Linked DNA regions of Arabidopsis thaliana. The protein of the gene in region 1 interacts with the protein of each later gene in a pairwise test. Each region holds a gene or a part of one and is shown on either strand. Other genes may lie near its edges.

What was found.
Region 2: the proteins of PLA2A (region 1) and CYCB2;2 interact in binary tests that used the Arabidopsis thaliana proteins (3 or more experiments, as listed by UniProt).

What each region holds. Positions count from the first base shown.
Region 1 is NC_003071.7:11,290,143-11,297,847, reverse strand, and holds PLA2A (phospholipase A 2A), read left to right. Parts: upstream 1-1,929; 5' UTR 1,930-2,139; coding exon 2,140-2,277; intron 2,278-2,360; coding exon 2,361-2,729; intron 2,730-2,815; coding exon 2,816-2,977; intron 2,978-3,205; coding exon 3,206-3,508; intron 3,509-3,588; coding exon 3,589-3,761; intron 3,762-3,857; coding exon 3,858-3,936; 3' UTR 3,937-4,146; downstream 4,147-7,705. Other genes in the region: HO2 (heme oxygenase 2), read left to right, coding at 4,422-4,896, 4,974-5,197, 5,331-5,412, 5,501-5,583, 5,980-6,087, 6,172-6,264; HEMD (uroporphyrinogen-III synthase family protein), read left to right, coding at 7,624-7,705. UniProt on the Arabidopsis thaliana protein: Possesses non-specific lipolytic acyl hydrolase (LAH) activity.
Region 2 is NC_003075.7:16,899,999-16,906,030, reverse strand, and holds CYCB2;2 (Cyclin B2;2), read right to left. Parts: upstream 4,436-6,032; 5' UTR 4,288-4,435; coding exon 4,224-4,287; intron 4,133-4,223; coding exon 3,997-4,132; intron 3,913-3,996; coding exon 3,853-3,912; intron 3,776-3,852; coding exon 3,622-3,775; intron 3,540-3,621; coding exon 3,402-3,539; intron 3,313-3,401; coding exon 3,223-3,312; intron 3,145-3,222; coding exon 2,923-3,144; intron 2,838-2,922; coding exon 2,739-2,837; intron 2,661-2,738; coding exon 2,482-2,660; coding exon of another isoform or gene 2,478-2,481; exon of another isoform or gene 2,413-2,477; coding exon 2,265-2,412; 3' UTR 2,030-2,264; downstream 1-2,029. Other genes in the region: SERAT3;2 (serine acetyltransferase 3;2), read left to right, coding at 80-139, 236-276; PSAT (phosphoserine aminotransferase), read right to left, coding at 534-1,826; AT4G35610 (zinc finger (C2H2 type) family protein), read left to right, coding at 5,806-6,032.

The DNA.
Region 1 (7,705 bases):
ATATATATTAAAAGCATTCAAATTCAGAAAGCAAAAATTGAAATAATAATTCTGCTAATCGGATAATTGTAATAAGATGATGACGACGACGAATTAAGGTGTCATTTTTGGTACACATTCACTCACTTACTAATCATATTCGAGATTGATGATTTGCCGTATCAAAATTATTCATTGATTTTGGGTTCCAATTGGTCTTAATAAAATATAACACTTTGCAAATGTTCAAACATACAAATTTGTATGAAATGCAAGATCTATTTAATTCTAAAAGTATTACATTAAATCAAATGTAACCGGTGAAAAAGAATAAGAAAAAAAAACAAATGTAACCATTTCTTTGCATTATAGTTTTAAATAGACAAACTTAAATATAATTACAAGTACAACTCTTGATTTTATATTGGGATACAGGGATAATAGTATAGGTTTGATTGGTGATTATCAACCGCAGTTTTTTTTCTTGTCATCATTTCAACTGCAATTTGGGATCCAAAAAACAACCAATTGTAAATACTTCACATTGGTGGGTGAGAATAAAAGTGTCAACTTCATTTTCCATCTCTTTATCTATCTAATCAAAGAATTCTATCAACTCAATGATGAAGAAACTTCAACTTTGCATGTCTTGAGAAAAAAAGATATTCCAGCATATCAATGTCGAATCATGTGATTTGAAAGGATAAAAGTATATTGCTCACAAAATTTCTAAGTGTTTTCGCGGAAAATAATAATAATATATGCGATTCTATTCTTTTCTTTGTCAATTGTTCCAAAAATACATTACGAAATTTTACGGTAGAGCACCACAAAAAAAAACGATATTGCTCAATAAAACATTCACATCAAGAAGTTATTGCTCAATAAAAAAAAATTGTTTTGTAATAAAAAAAACTTTTCTTTTAATATATTTTTATTTTTGTAACTGTGAGGTTCAACCATAAATTTTTTTTTTATTAAAACCAATAAATATAGCTTAAATCTCTTTCAAACTTTTTTACATATGTGACTAACCATCAGTGACAATTCGAATTTAATATTACTCACGGTCTAGCAGATGTGTTATAAATTTTGAAATCAATTATAATTTTACAAATTATATCAAACTTGGACTTTGAGTATGTCTCTATTTGCCTTAAATGATCAAATATTACATAAACAAAAAAACTTGAAATTAAGGTTATTAATAAATAATTTAATATTTATTTTTGAATTTTGGTGGATTTAGAAAGAATAAAAGTATTTTTTCTGGGAAAATATGCATATTTATATTATTTGAATTGAGTATAGTAAACTAAGGGTGTTAAATGAAAAACAAATTGTTGTATGTACAAATTGACTTCATTTGGTCAATGAAAGAAAGTTGCAGTGTTGGGGGATAAGTATTGAGCGGCGGCTAAAATACTAAAGATTTTCTAATATTGCCATAAAAGATATTTTTTGTAACTTTCTATTTGTCACGGCACTGATTTTTTCAAAACTCCCATGACACAGCTGTCTTTACCCCATAATATATTGAACGTAAAGTAACTTCTTTGACCAATTGACCATGCTTAGTTGCTTACGTTGTTTATACAAAAGATTCATTGTTGGAAGTATAAGTAGCAGTAATATTACATCGTAGGTTGTTTTCTCTCATTAACATCGTCTCTAGGTGACTAGAAGAACGATCCTTTGTGTGTGAACTCGTGAGCAGAATCTAAACGAAAATTATATAAAGCTTAGAATTCATTAGAAAAAAGTGACATACCAAGAAACCCGAAAATGGGGAAGTTAATTTCATTTGAACAAAAAAAAACATTGTAGTTTTGTAATAAAAGGGTTGACATGGTCTTAATGTGGAAGAAGTAAAGAGGCTCACGAAAAGTCCATGTTGTCTACAAAGGAAGAAACAAGAACCAATAGAATTAGAGTTCAAACCAAAGGACGAAGTATGCAAGTTAATTTGACAAGCTAATATCCTAAGAATGAAGACATGGTCTAACTTTGAAACAGCAGCCACTAGTGTCCTATAAATACATAGAGTTCATTAACCTCTCATAATATCTCACAATCAAAGTTCTATCTCCTCAAGTATCAATACATTGATATCCATTAAAAAAAAGAAATATCAATACATTGCTTTGCTTGTTCTGTAAGATGCAAATGGACAGCCCCAAATCTCCTCTCCAGCCCCCGACCTATGGAAACTTAGTTACAATCCTCAGCATCGACGGTGGTGGCATTAGAGGGCTAATCCCTGCCGTTATCCTTGGTTTTCTCGAGTCCGAACTCCAGGTATATATGTGCTACCTAACTATACAAATATTATGTTTGTAAAATTATATTTTCTTAACTCATATATATACATGGATGCATAGAAATTGGATGGAGAAGAAGCAAGGCTTGCAGACTACTTTGATGTAATAGCGGGAACAAGCACCGGTGGTCTAGTGACAGCCATGCTCACCGCGCCTAATAAGGAAGGCCGACCCTTATTTGCAGCGTCTGAAATTAAAGATTTCTATCTTGAGCAATGTCCGAAGATCTTCCCTCAAGATCATTTCCCATTCTCAGCCGCCAAAAAACTCGTGAAGTCCTTGACTGGTCCTAAATATGACGGTAAATACCTTCATCAGCTTATCCACGCTAAGTTGGGTGATACAAAGTTGAGTCAAACACTTACCAACGTTGTCATTCCAACGTTCGATATCAAGCATCTTCAACCTACTATCTTTAGTAGTTATGAGGTTTGTTTATAGCTTGTTCTATTTGTGAAATTACAATATAATAATTAACAAAACTTTGGTTTAATATATATATGACTATTTTATAGGTAAAAAACCATCCTCTCAAGGACGCAACCCTCGCAGACATTGCCATCTCAACTTCAGCTGCCCCTACATACTTGCCTGCCCATTTCTTCAAAGTTGAAGATTTAAACGGAAACGCTAAAGAATACAATCTTATTGATGGTGGAGTTGCAGCTAACAACCCGGTAAATTTCTAAATATTGGATTTATCATTTATGTAGCAATAGGGTTTTTATACGAAGAATATAATATATCAACAATTATTATGGACTTAAATTGAATAATTATAACATGAACACACAATGTTAGACTATATTTCATTTTTTACTATGGAATTTCTTATAATAATCGATACGAGTTTTCTGTAAAAATCTTGAATAGATCATGATATAGTTGTTATATGTCAAGTATAGGCTTTGTTGGCCATTGGGGAAGTAACAAATGAGATCTCAGGAGGAAGCAGTGACTTTTTCCCAATAAGACCAAATGATTACGGAAGGTTTCTTGTGCTTTCGCTTGGAACCGGAAATCATAAAGCCGAAGAGAAATTCAATGCAAAAGAAGTAGCTGGTTGGGGACTATTGAATTGGTTAACACACGACAACTCTACACCTATCATTGATGCTTTCTCGCAAGCTAGCTCCGACATGGTTGATTTCCATCTCTCTGCCGTTTTTCGAGCTCTTCATTCCGAAGCCAACTATATTCGCATCCAGGTATCAAAATCAGCTAGCGCACTAACCATTTCTTTTTCTTTGTCTCCACAATTCCTAAGATTTGGGTATTAATTATATAGGATGACACATTAACTGGGGATGCTGCTTCTGTTGATATCGCTACCGTCGAGAATCTGGACATTCTTGCCAAGACAGGAGATGAACTACTTAAAAAACCTGTTGCAAGAGTCAACCTAGACTCGGGTTGTAACGAAAATGCTTATGAAACGACTAATGAACATGCTCTTATAAAGTAAGTGGCCCAATTTTTGCATTTTATAGCTTTATTCTTTCATACTTAAGGTGATTAAAAGTATTTTGCTAATATATTTAAATTTTGGTTGTGAAGGTTAGCAGGAATACTTTCAAAAGAAAAGAAGATCCGAGACATTCGTTCACCTCATGCAAAAGCTCCAATTAGGATCTAAAGAGATCAATTATTGTATCTTGTATATTGTTGATGATTCGTTTGTTTCACTAATGCACGTTTGGATTTATATTAATAAAAAGGTTGCACCACATTGTGGTCACTTGTACGTTTGAATAAAGTCAATAAATATTTAATGGATGGAAATGCTCTAAAATGTTTGGTCATTTTTCAACATACATTATACTAATAGAATAATGGCGAATAATACATAGACACGTACGTACTGAAACCAAAGTTATCTCAACTAATCTAATTATCTAAGCCTTTTTTTTATGGCTTATCAACTAATCTAAGCATAATGTAAATATAAAAAAAACTATTTATTTTTTACATCTGCCCTATTTAGGCTAGTTATGAAATAATTAATGGCATGACATGTAAATAATAACAAAATTAAGGGTGTTTGGTTTTCCAATGTTTGTCGATTAGGCTGAAAGCGAGAAATCAAAGTGAAGGCAGCGTCTATCTTGGTCGTCGGAATCCATGGCTTCTCTTCTCAGGCCAACTCCATTACTCTCTACACCTCGTAAGCTCACTCACTCTCATCTTCACACATCTATCTCTTTCCCATTCCAAATCTCAACTCAGAGAAAGCCACAAAAGCATCTTCTCAATCTATGTCGTTCGACACCAACACCGTCACAACAAAAGGCCTCACAGAGGAAGAGAACAAGGTACAGGAAACAATACCCAGGAGAAAACATTGGTATAACTGAGGAAATGAGATTCGTCGCCATGAGATTACGCAATGTTAATGGTAAAAAATTAGATCTTTCTGAAGATAAAACTGACACCGAGAAGGAAGAAGAAGAAGAAGAAGAAGACGATGATGATGATGATGAAGTAAAGGAAGAGACTTGGAAGCCTAGCAAAGAAGGGTTTCTTAAGTACTTAGTTGATAGCAAGCTTGTCTTCGATACTATTGAACGAATTGTTGACGAATCTGAGAATGTGTCTTGTAAGAACCCTACTTTGGTCTCGAATTTGACAGTTTGGTAATGATTTGGGTTAATGGGGTTTGTGTTCAATGTACAGATGCTTACTTTAGGAGAACAGGATTAGAGAGATGTGAAAGTATTGAGAAGGATCTACAATGGTTAAGAGAACAAGATTTGGTTATACCAGAACCAAGTAATGTAGGAGTTTCTTATGCAAAGTATTTGGAAGAACAAGCAGGAGAAAGTGCTCCTTTGTTTCTTTCTCATTTCTACAGTATCTACTTTTCACATATTGCTGGTGGTCAAGTTCTTGTAAGACAGGTTAGTTTCTTTGGAAAGCTTTCATAAAGTAACATAGAAGAGTTATATAACTGCATAAGGTCACATCCAGCATATTGAATGGTTAAAGCTAGTTCGATATATTAAAGATTAGTATCGATATAAATGGATTCAGGAGAGTTCGATTTATCGGGAGTTTTGCTGGTTTTTAGTATACTTTTCACACATTGCTGGTGGTCAAGTTATTTGTAAGACAGGTTAGTTTCTTTGATAAGTGTTCACAGAGTAACATAGAAGAAATTTTCAACTGCATAATGTCACATCTAGGATATTGAATGGTAACAGCTAGTTTGATAGAGTTAGAGATTGATATAGATATAGTGGATTCAGGAGAGTTGGGTTTATCGGGAGTTTTGCGGTTATGGTGGGTATGAGAGAGTGGCGATAAGAATGAGAATGAGAATGTGAGAAGATTTCCATTCTTCTTCATTGAGACTCAACTTACAAATAGAACTGTGATAAAGAAACACTCAGATCCTAAACCAAAACCAACCAACACCAGGCTTGCTCAATTAGTTTAAAGCTTGCCCCAAAAGAACTTGTTAACCGACTGTTAGTTAGGTTAATGTGGTATTAACCAACGGGTGAACTATGCTTTTGTCTTTATTTTTGAGATTTATCATAACTGTACATTCTTTTTGTTGGTTCTGTTGTGTTCTGGTTCTTACTTTTATCAATATATCCCATGATTTGGACTGTCATAATTGTTTGGTAACCCTTATATGCGAGGTGTTCAAATGTAACTGATCAGTTGATTCATTAAGGTATCTGAGAAACTTCTGGAAGGAAAGGAGCTGGAGTTCAATAGGTGGGAAGGGGATGCACAAGACTTGCTTAAAGGCGTCCGTGAGAAGCTTAACGTGCTTGGGGAGGTCAGATTGTCAATGAAAATTATAACTCTTCATTCCACCAGTTGCTAAAATCTGATGTTTTGGTGATGCTTTTGGGAAATGAAGCACTGGAGTCGGGACGAGAAGAACAAATGCTTGAAGGAAACGGCAAAGGCATTTAAGTATATGGGGCAGATAGTTCGCTTGATCATCTTGTAAATATCTAGGTTTTAAAGTTAACAGTTTCCGGCACCAGACCTGTGTTCACTACGGTAAGTCTGGAATAGTTTCAAAACTTTCATTGTCAACTGTCTCTTCACTGAAAATCAAATCTCCCCTGCAGATTGCATTGCTCCAATATGCATACCGCAAGCATTGTGGTCTCGCTAATTCAGGGCAGTGCTGGAAATGAAGCTGATGACCACCAGCCAGCCTACATGGCTGGAAGAGTAACTTTCTGTTATTTGTTGGCTTAAGTCAGCAGTAAAGATAAGTCACCAAATTACTTATTGAAAAATGTAGCCAAAGGTTGTGGCCTTCGTCTCATGATTGTTTGATAAGATATTGTTGTTCCTCAGTTATATATATTTGAATTTTGGTGATTTGCACACTAATCATTGCTTCTAATTATCTGAATAAAAAGATCAAATATGACTCACTAGCTATTTTGGTTGCTACATCAACATAATAGTTCATTTGGCTTTTTACCTTTTTGACATTTTGAATTTAATTTATCTTCGAATTATCTAAGACTCTAGTATATATCAATCTAACCCACATCCTTAGCTTGGAAGGCCAAGGGTTGTAGACGACATTAATCGCTCATTTTTATATATATATTTGATATCTATTATTCAAAACCGAAAATGAAATTTTGGTCTTATTCGGCAACTTTATAATGAATATTTTCAAATTGTAGTTTTCTTATAAATATACTATCATTCGAAGTTTTATTTTTGAATCAACAATTTTAGTTAAAGAAACCATGCAAAATTGAAAGTAAAGAGACATATAGTTGGCTTAATGTGTTCGTAAAGAGATTTGTGCGTAGTGTTAAAGAGCATACATACTTCAATATTAAGAAATATTTGGATGTAAAAACACAATTTTAGTGGTAATATCAGTAGTAAATTTTTAAGTAAATGTAAATAAGATGATAATTTGCATGTAAAACATTTCTAAAAAATTTGTTGAACTATATTTATTACAAGATTGCAAACCTAACTTTTTTTAGATTTTGAAATAATAAATAATAATATTTAACAAATTTTGGTGATTCATAATTTAACTTTACTAAATTTTTATTGGGCCGTAGTGTGTAAACAACTTGAATAGACTAAAAAACACTATTGGGCTGTAGTGTAACAAAATTGGGCTCAAATGAAAAAACAAAAAACAAAAAAGAGAGACATTAAAACGCACGTGGAGATAGAATTGTATTCAACTATTCATCATCTTCGTTTGGATTTGGTTTCTTTCTGTTTCTGACAAAAACCACCGGCAAAATAAAGCGACTACGATTCCATTTTCACCGGCGCTTCCGTGAGACAACATCTCTCCATCTTGGAACTTTTTCTAATGGCATTATTACTCCTTTCTCACTGCTCTATCTTATCTTTTCAACCTCCATTATCGTCTTCTTCTTCATTTCATTCTTCAC
Region 2 (6,032 bases), on another chromosome or scaffold:
TGAAAATAGTATTCTGATTTTGTTCTCCATTGCTCAGGCTTTCGTAGTGTGCCAATATGCTAGTTGATTGAATATGCAGATGCTACCAGAGAGTTCTTTCAAAATGTAGCTGTTGCTTATAGAGAGACAATACCAAATGGTAACTTACTTTCTTAATTCCTACAGTGAACTGTGTATTTATATATCTGAGTATAGTTTGGGATCTGAATTGAATTTTGCTTTTTTGTTAAAACAGGATCTTCAGTTTCAGGGAGTTGCAGGGAAAGGAGACATTAAAAAGAGAACATGAGATCACCTGCAGCTTCTTTAAGGCGGTTTTCATCATCAATCATAATCACTTCAAACAAATAACAAAGCTCTTTGTTTGTTAACAAACTTGTTTTTCCAATTGATGGAGAAAGATTTTGATACATTGTTAAACATTATTCATTCTGAAAAGAAGAAAAAAAAACAAATCATAAGCTTTAAAGCTTATCATCTTTAAAGCTTATCATCTTTCAACAAACATAACCAAAATGCAAAAACCCTTAAAACTAAGCATGCTTAGCCTGGAAATCTTTCATGAAAGCAACAAGCTTTTCAACACCAGCCAAAGGCATTGCATTGTAAATAGAAGCTCTCATACCTCCCACTGATCTATGTCCTTTGAGCTGCACCATCTTCTCTTTAGCAGCTTCCTTGATAAACTCAGCTTCCAATTCAGACTTCTCCAATGTGAAAGGCACATTCATCAACGACCTCACTGATTTCTCAACAGGACATCTGAAAAAGCCATTGCTTTCTTCAATAGCATTGTAAAGCAAATCAGCTTTCCTCTGGTTCTTCTTCTCCACTTCTTTCAATCCACCTTGCTCCAACAGATCTTCAAACACAAGACCACACATGTAAATCCCAAAGCAAGGAGGCGTGTTGTACAACGAACTATTCTCATCATGAATCTTGTAATCAAGCATCACAGGAGTAATATCTTGAGCATTCCCAATCAAATCTTTACGAATGATCACAATTGTGACACCAGATGGACCAACGTTCTTCTGTGCACCACCGTAAATCACACCAAACTTAGATACATCAACAGGTTTCGAACAGAAGTTAGAAGACATATCAGCAACCAAGAACCCATTTTTAGGAACAGGGTAATCTTTAAACTCAACTCCATGAATAGTCTCATTGGCGCATATATGCAAATACTTAGCGTCCGGAGTTTGCTCCAACTCCTCAAAAGATGGAACCTTTGTGTATTTCTCAGATTTCCCAGACCAAATCACATTAGTCTTGCAATACTTCTTCGCTTCCTTGACAGCTTTATCACCCCACGAACCAGTAACAACGAAATCGACTGTATCATCCGATTTGCAGAGATTGAGAGGTAAAGCAGCGAATTGAGTAGTGGCACCACCTTGTAAGAACAAAACGGAATATTCCTGAGGAATCTCGAGAAGCTGACGAAGATCCGATTCAGCTTTTTGTATAATCGAGAGAAACTCTTTGCCTCTGTGACTCATCTCCATCACACTCATGCCAGATCCACGCCAGTTGTATAGATCCGCCTGAGCTTTTAGGAGAACGTTCTCAGGCAAAGTGGCTGGACCCGCCGCGAAGTTGAAGACACGTTCTTGGGATCCGACGGAGCCGGATCTAACTCCATCTTGAACTTGAGTCGTTGAAGCGACGCATCTAACAGCGACGGGCTTGGTTTTGCTGACGAAGTTGACGGTGTTTGGTTTGCTGAGGTGAAGAAAGGATTGAGATGATGATTTGGGTTTCAAAGCAGGAATCTGAGTGTTGTTGCTTCCGACAAGGAAAGAGTTCGTCGTAGCCGCCATGATTGTTGTGAGATTCTCCGAGTTTATTTTTGTTTGTTGCCCTTTTCGCTTTTACTTAGACAAAAGATCTGAGAAAGAGTTGGTGGGAGATATATAAATGTAGCTTGAAAACGACAGCGTTTGTGTTAGGTGGTACTAGTTTTGTCTGCGGTGTTAGTATAGTTAAGACTCATTTCCAATGTGTTTTATTTAAAGTTGTAGAAGAAAAAGAGTTCAAATCAAAACTCTCATCCTTATATCATACATATTCTATGAATCTGTAACTATTGACAAAAAATATGATTGGTATAAGAGAATTTTATTGCTGAGATATCAATAAAAGAAAGACTTGTTACAGATCAAATCAGAGGAATGTTTTGAACTTATTTCGTTTGTAATTAAAAATTGAGAGGGAAAATGTTAGCAGCGAGCTATACACAAACTACTATTTTCCACTCTTTAGTGAGAATCTGACACAAGAAAGTGTGCAGCTTCATACTTTGTTGCTATGTATCCGAATTTGGAGGAGCTGTATTTTCTATGTACTCCTGTTAGTTTATCAGTCCCAGCTTTCTGATGTAGTCTCACCATTCTTCTACAACATTCTCTGTAAAACAAACCCATATTAGTTACAAAGATGAGTCTTTATAGGTGCTAATGGGTAAAAGAGACTTACAGGAGTTGATTCTCAGAGTAGTGACAATGGAATTCACAAGTGCTGTTCCATTCACTGAAGCCATGGATTGTACATTGAGCTGTGTACACGGCAGTGGCGGCGAGTAACGATGGTGGATACCGAACCATTTCGTAGTCCACAAGAGCAAGCTCAATCAAGAACGACGCCAAGATCTCAAGCTGTTTCAATAACAAGATTAGTTTGTAATTCACAATCCATTTATATTATTGTGTACATTGATAGATTTGTTTCTTTACCTTCTTGTCTGATTGAGCTGCCTTGAGGAACCTCTTCAAGAAAGGGTATTGCGTTGGTAACGACATATTGAATTGCAAAGTACTAAGCATAATCTTCTCCTGCACACAAAGATTATATTATTGAAATCAGATCAAATGTATAATCTTTTTACCGAGTTTTTGGAAAGAAACAATCTTATTTTACCATTTCTAAAACATCGGTCCTCGTATAAGCTTTGTCCGAAATGACTACCAAATCTTCAACAATAGGTACTGAAACCTCTTCGTACTTGCAAGCTAAGAGCAATGCAACTAAACCAACAAGCTGAAGCTTCTTTCTTGCAACAGCTTGCTTGGACAAGAATCTATCTATCAGATTGACTGTTAGAAACAATGTCTCGTTCATCAGCTCAAACTTATCATGTACCTGAAACATCCAAGAAGCTTCTTAATTAGCCTCTATATATACAATAATCCATTACCATTGAGAGGTGCTTGAATATACCTCGATGAGCCAGTCAATAAGTATTGCTCTCATTTTGTCAGATATATCAAACTGTTGCGCCATGTAATCTAGAGGAACACAGCTAAATCTCTGCAGATTACCAAAATCCATGGAAAATTGTCTCAGTCCGAATTCAAAATCTTATGGTTTTGGTTCAGAGACATATTAAGAAACCGTACCTCGGTTTTACGGTAGAAATCGTAAAGATCTTGGACGTATTCAACAGCTGCAAGAGAGTTGTTTGCATCGTATTCGTCTATATCCAAAACTGGTTCTTCTTGTTCTTCTTCCATATCCTCCATCTCAACTTCTTCCTCCTGTCCAAATCAAAAAACTTTCTTTAGAATTCACATTAAAAGAAAAAAGCTAAAGATCTTTTGAAAAGTGATTGTTAATTACCATTGGATCAAATTCAATGTATGGTTCCTCCAATGACATTGGCATAGGTTGGTCCAATGTAACTTCTTCATTCTTCTCCTCTTCTTCATCAATGAATATGCAATCACCAAACTCGTTTCCACTTGGTTTCAGCTTCTTAGTCTCTTCCTGAGATCTGCAGAAATTCAAATAACATCAGATCTCTCTTTCTCAGCAAAAGAAACGTTTTTGAAAGCTTTAAACTTTATTAACCTTGAAATTGACGGATGCAATGAATCAAGCTTCTTCTTGTCACAGCTTTCTTGTTTTCTCCTATTGAAGAAAATAATCATCAAAATCCCAAAACCAAGAATCAAAGAGACAAACTTTAGGATTCGAGAGAGTTAAGTATATTACTGAGATAAGCCTCTTCTCTTGTTAACAACACAAGGATAAGCTTTTGCACCAACGAGATTGTGATTAATCACACCCAATGCTCTCCTGTTCTGTCTCTTCATCTCTACACCGAATTTTCTGCTTCTCTTATCATCATCTGACAAAACCCAGAAACAAAACAACATCAGACTCTCTGTTCGTCAGACCTATAATTCTCAGATTTTTCAAAGGCGTTTTACTACTACTACCTTGAAGAATCTCTGTAATGGGTTTGACAACGAGATTACGATTGTTCTCCTCTGGATTAACCATTGTTTATTTTACTCGATTTGATAGTGCTCCTGGAGAAGAATCTAGAAGAAGAAGAAGAGCATCAAACGAAGAAGGATCTCTCTTCTCTCTGTGACTCTGTGTATACGTCTGATGCAATTGAATGAATCAGTAGGAGTCAGAGAAGGGGATGAAATAAGCGAGAGAGAGAAATTAAATCAAATCAATTAAAATTAAAGTTGCTACCTTTTTTTATTTTATTTTTTTTTATTATTGAAGGAAATAGCAACGGCTAGGTGATTAAGATGACCGTTGGATCATGAAGGAAACGATTTGTTTCTAAGTCTGTCTAAACCCAACGGTAACTTTTTTGGCCATGTGGTGTGTGTGGTGGCTCTCTCTTTCTCATTTCAAATTTATTATTCCTTTTTTGTGTTTTTTTTGTTGCCTTTTTCAGACAAAGAAGGCTCGTTACCACTAGCCAGAGCCTCCGTAAGGCGCGGCTCTAAGATCTTAAAGTCAACATATTGATTCTTTAATCTTAATCTTAGCTTATTAATCTGTGTTTTACTACAGAGCTAAGAATTGCTCTCTTTCCTAAGAATTATTGTTACCGAGAATTATGCTGACTCTGTAGTAAGTGTTCTTGCCATTTCTTTTTTTTTGGTCAAGCTTTTTAAAAATATTTAATTTAGAGAATATCAAAAATTAGGCTAGATGATTCTGGTCATAGTTATTGTAATTGAATTTCCTTAGAATGGTCAAAAGGTGATTGTGTTTCTAATTTCTTATTCAAATATGTGAAATATTTTAGATAACTTTTTATATCTGCATTTTTAGAAAACTGTTAAACGTTTAGTTAGAGTCTAGTGTGTAGATATTATTCAAAATAATATTTAAGACAGTTGCGGCTTCGCTATATCATATATCACACATCAATGGTTACATTAGTTTTTTTTGGTGTTGCAATTTGTTGTATTTGTGATTTATTACATAGCTTCAAGAGCTTCCTTCTGACATTGAAAACTATGTTTACCGGTATACATCAATGTTTAAATTTTAAATAGTAAAAACATATAGAATAAATAAAGAATGGCTAATAAAAATGATAATGTTTCCACCCAAAAAAAAAAAATGATAATGTTATTGTAATAATAAATAAAGAAAAAATATGTCAAAACAAAAGTTTACAAGTCACGTCATTGTCGGATGTCACATGCATAATAGTATTAGTGCAGTTGCAACGACTCTTGCAATCTCGATGACCAAAAACGCACGAGAAACGATTACAAACAGAAAACAAGAAAAACTCTTGAACCAACCTACCAAGTACGAATAACTTATGGGCTAGTAATGGGCTTTATACGATATTAAGCCCAAATTTACGTAATATCAGAGTTTAGGACGGACCAATCACAAACGACGGATGCAAATCTTCAAACGAAAAGGCGGGAGAGGAATTAACTGTCATAACCGCCATGGTTCAGAGAAAACTTTATATAAGGGCTAATTCAATGTCGTTTTGAAACATCAATCCCTAGACTAAAGTGCGAAAATAGTATGAGTAATCCGAACCCAGAGAAAACGAAAGTGGATGTTACTGAGGAAGAGAAAGAGGAATCTGATGAGCAATGGAGCGATGAAGAAACCAATATGAGAGAAATTGTTCTCGGCCTCCCTGCTTTGAATATCAGCAGTAGAATATTTGGAGAGAGTAGTAGTGTCGTTGAGGAAGATGCAGAAAAAGCGCGTTTGAATGAGCAAGCGGTTCTTGCGGCGGGGTTGAT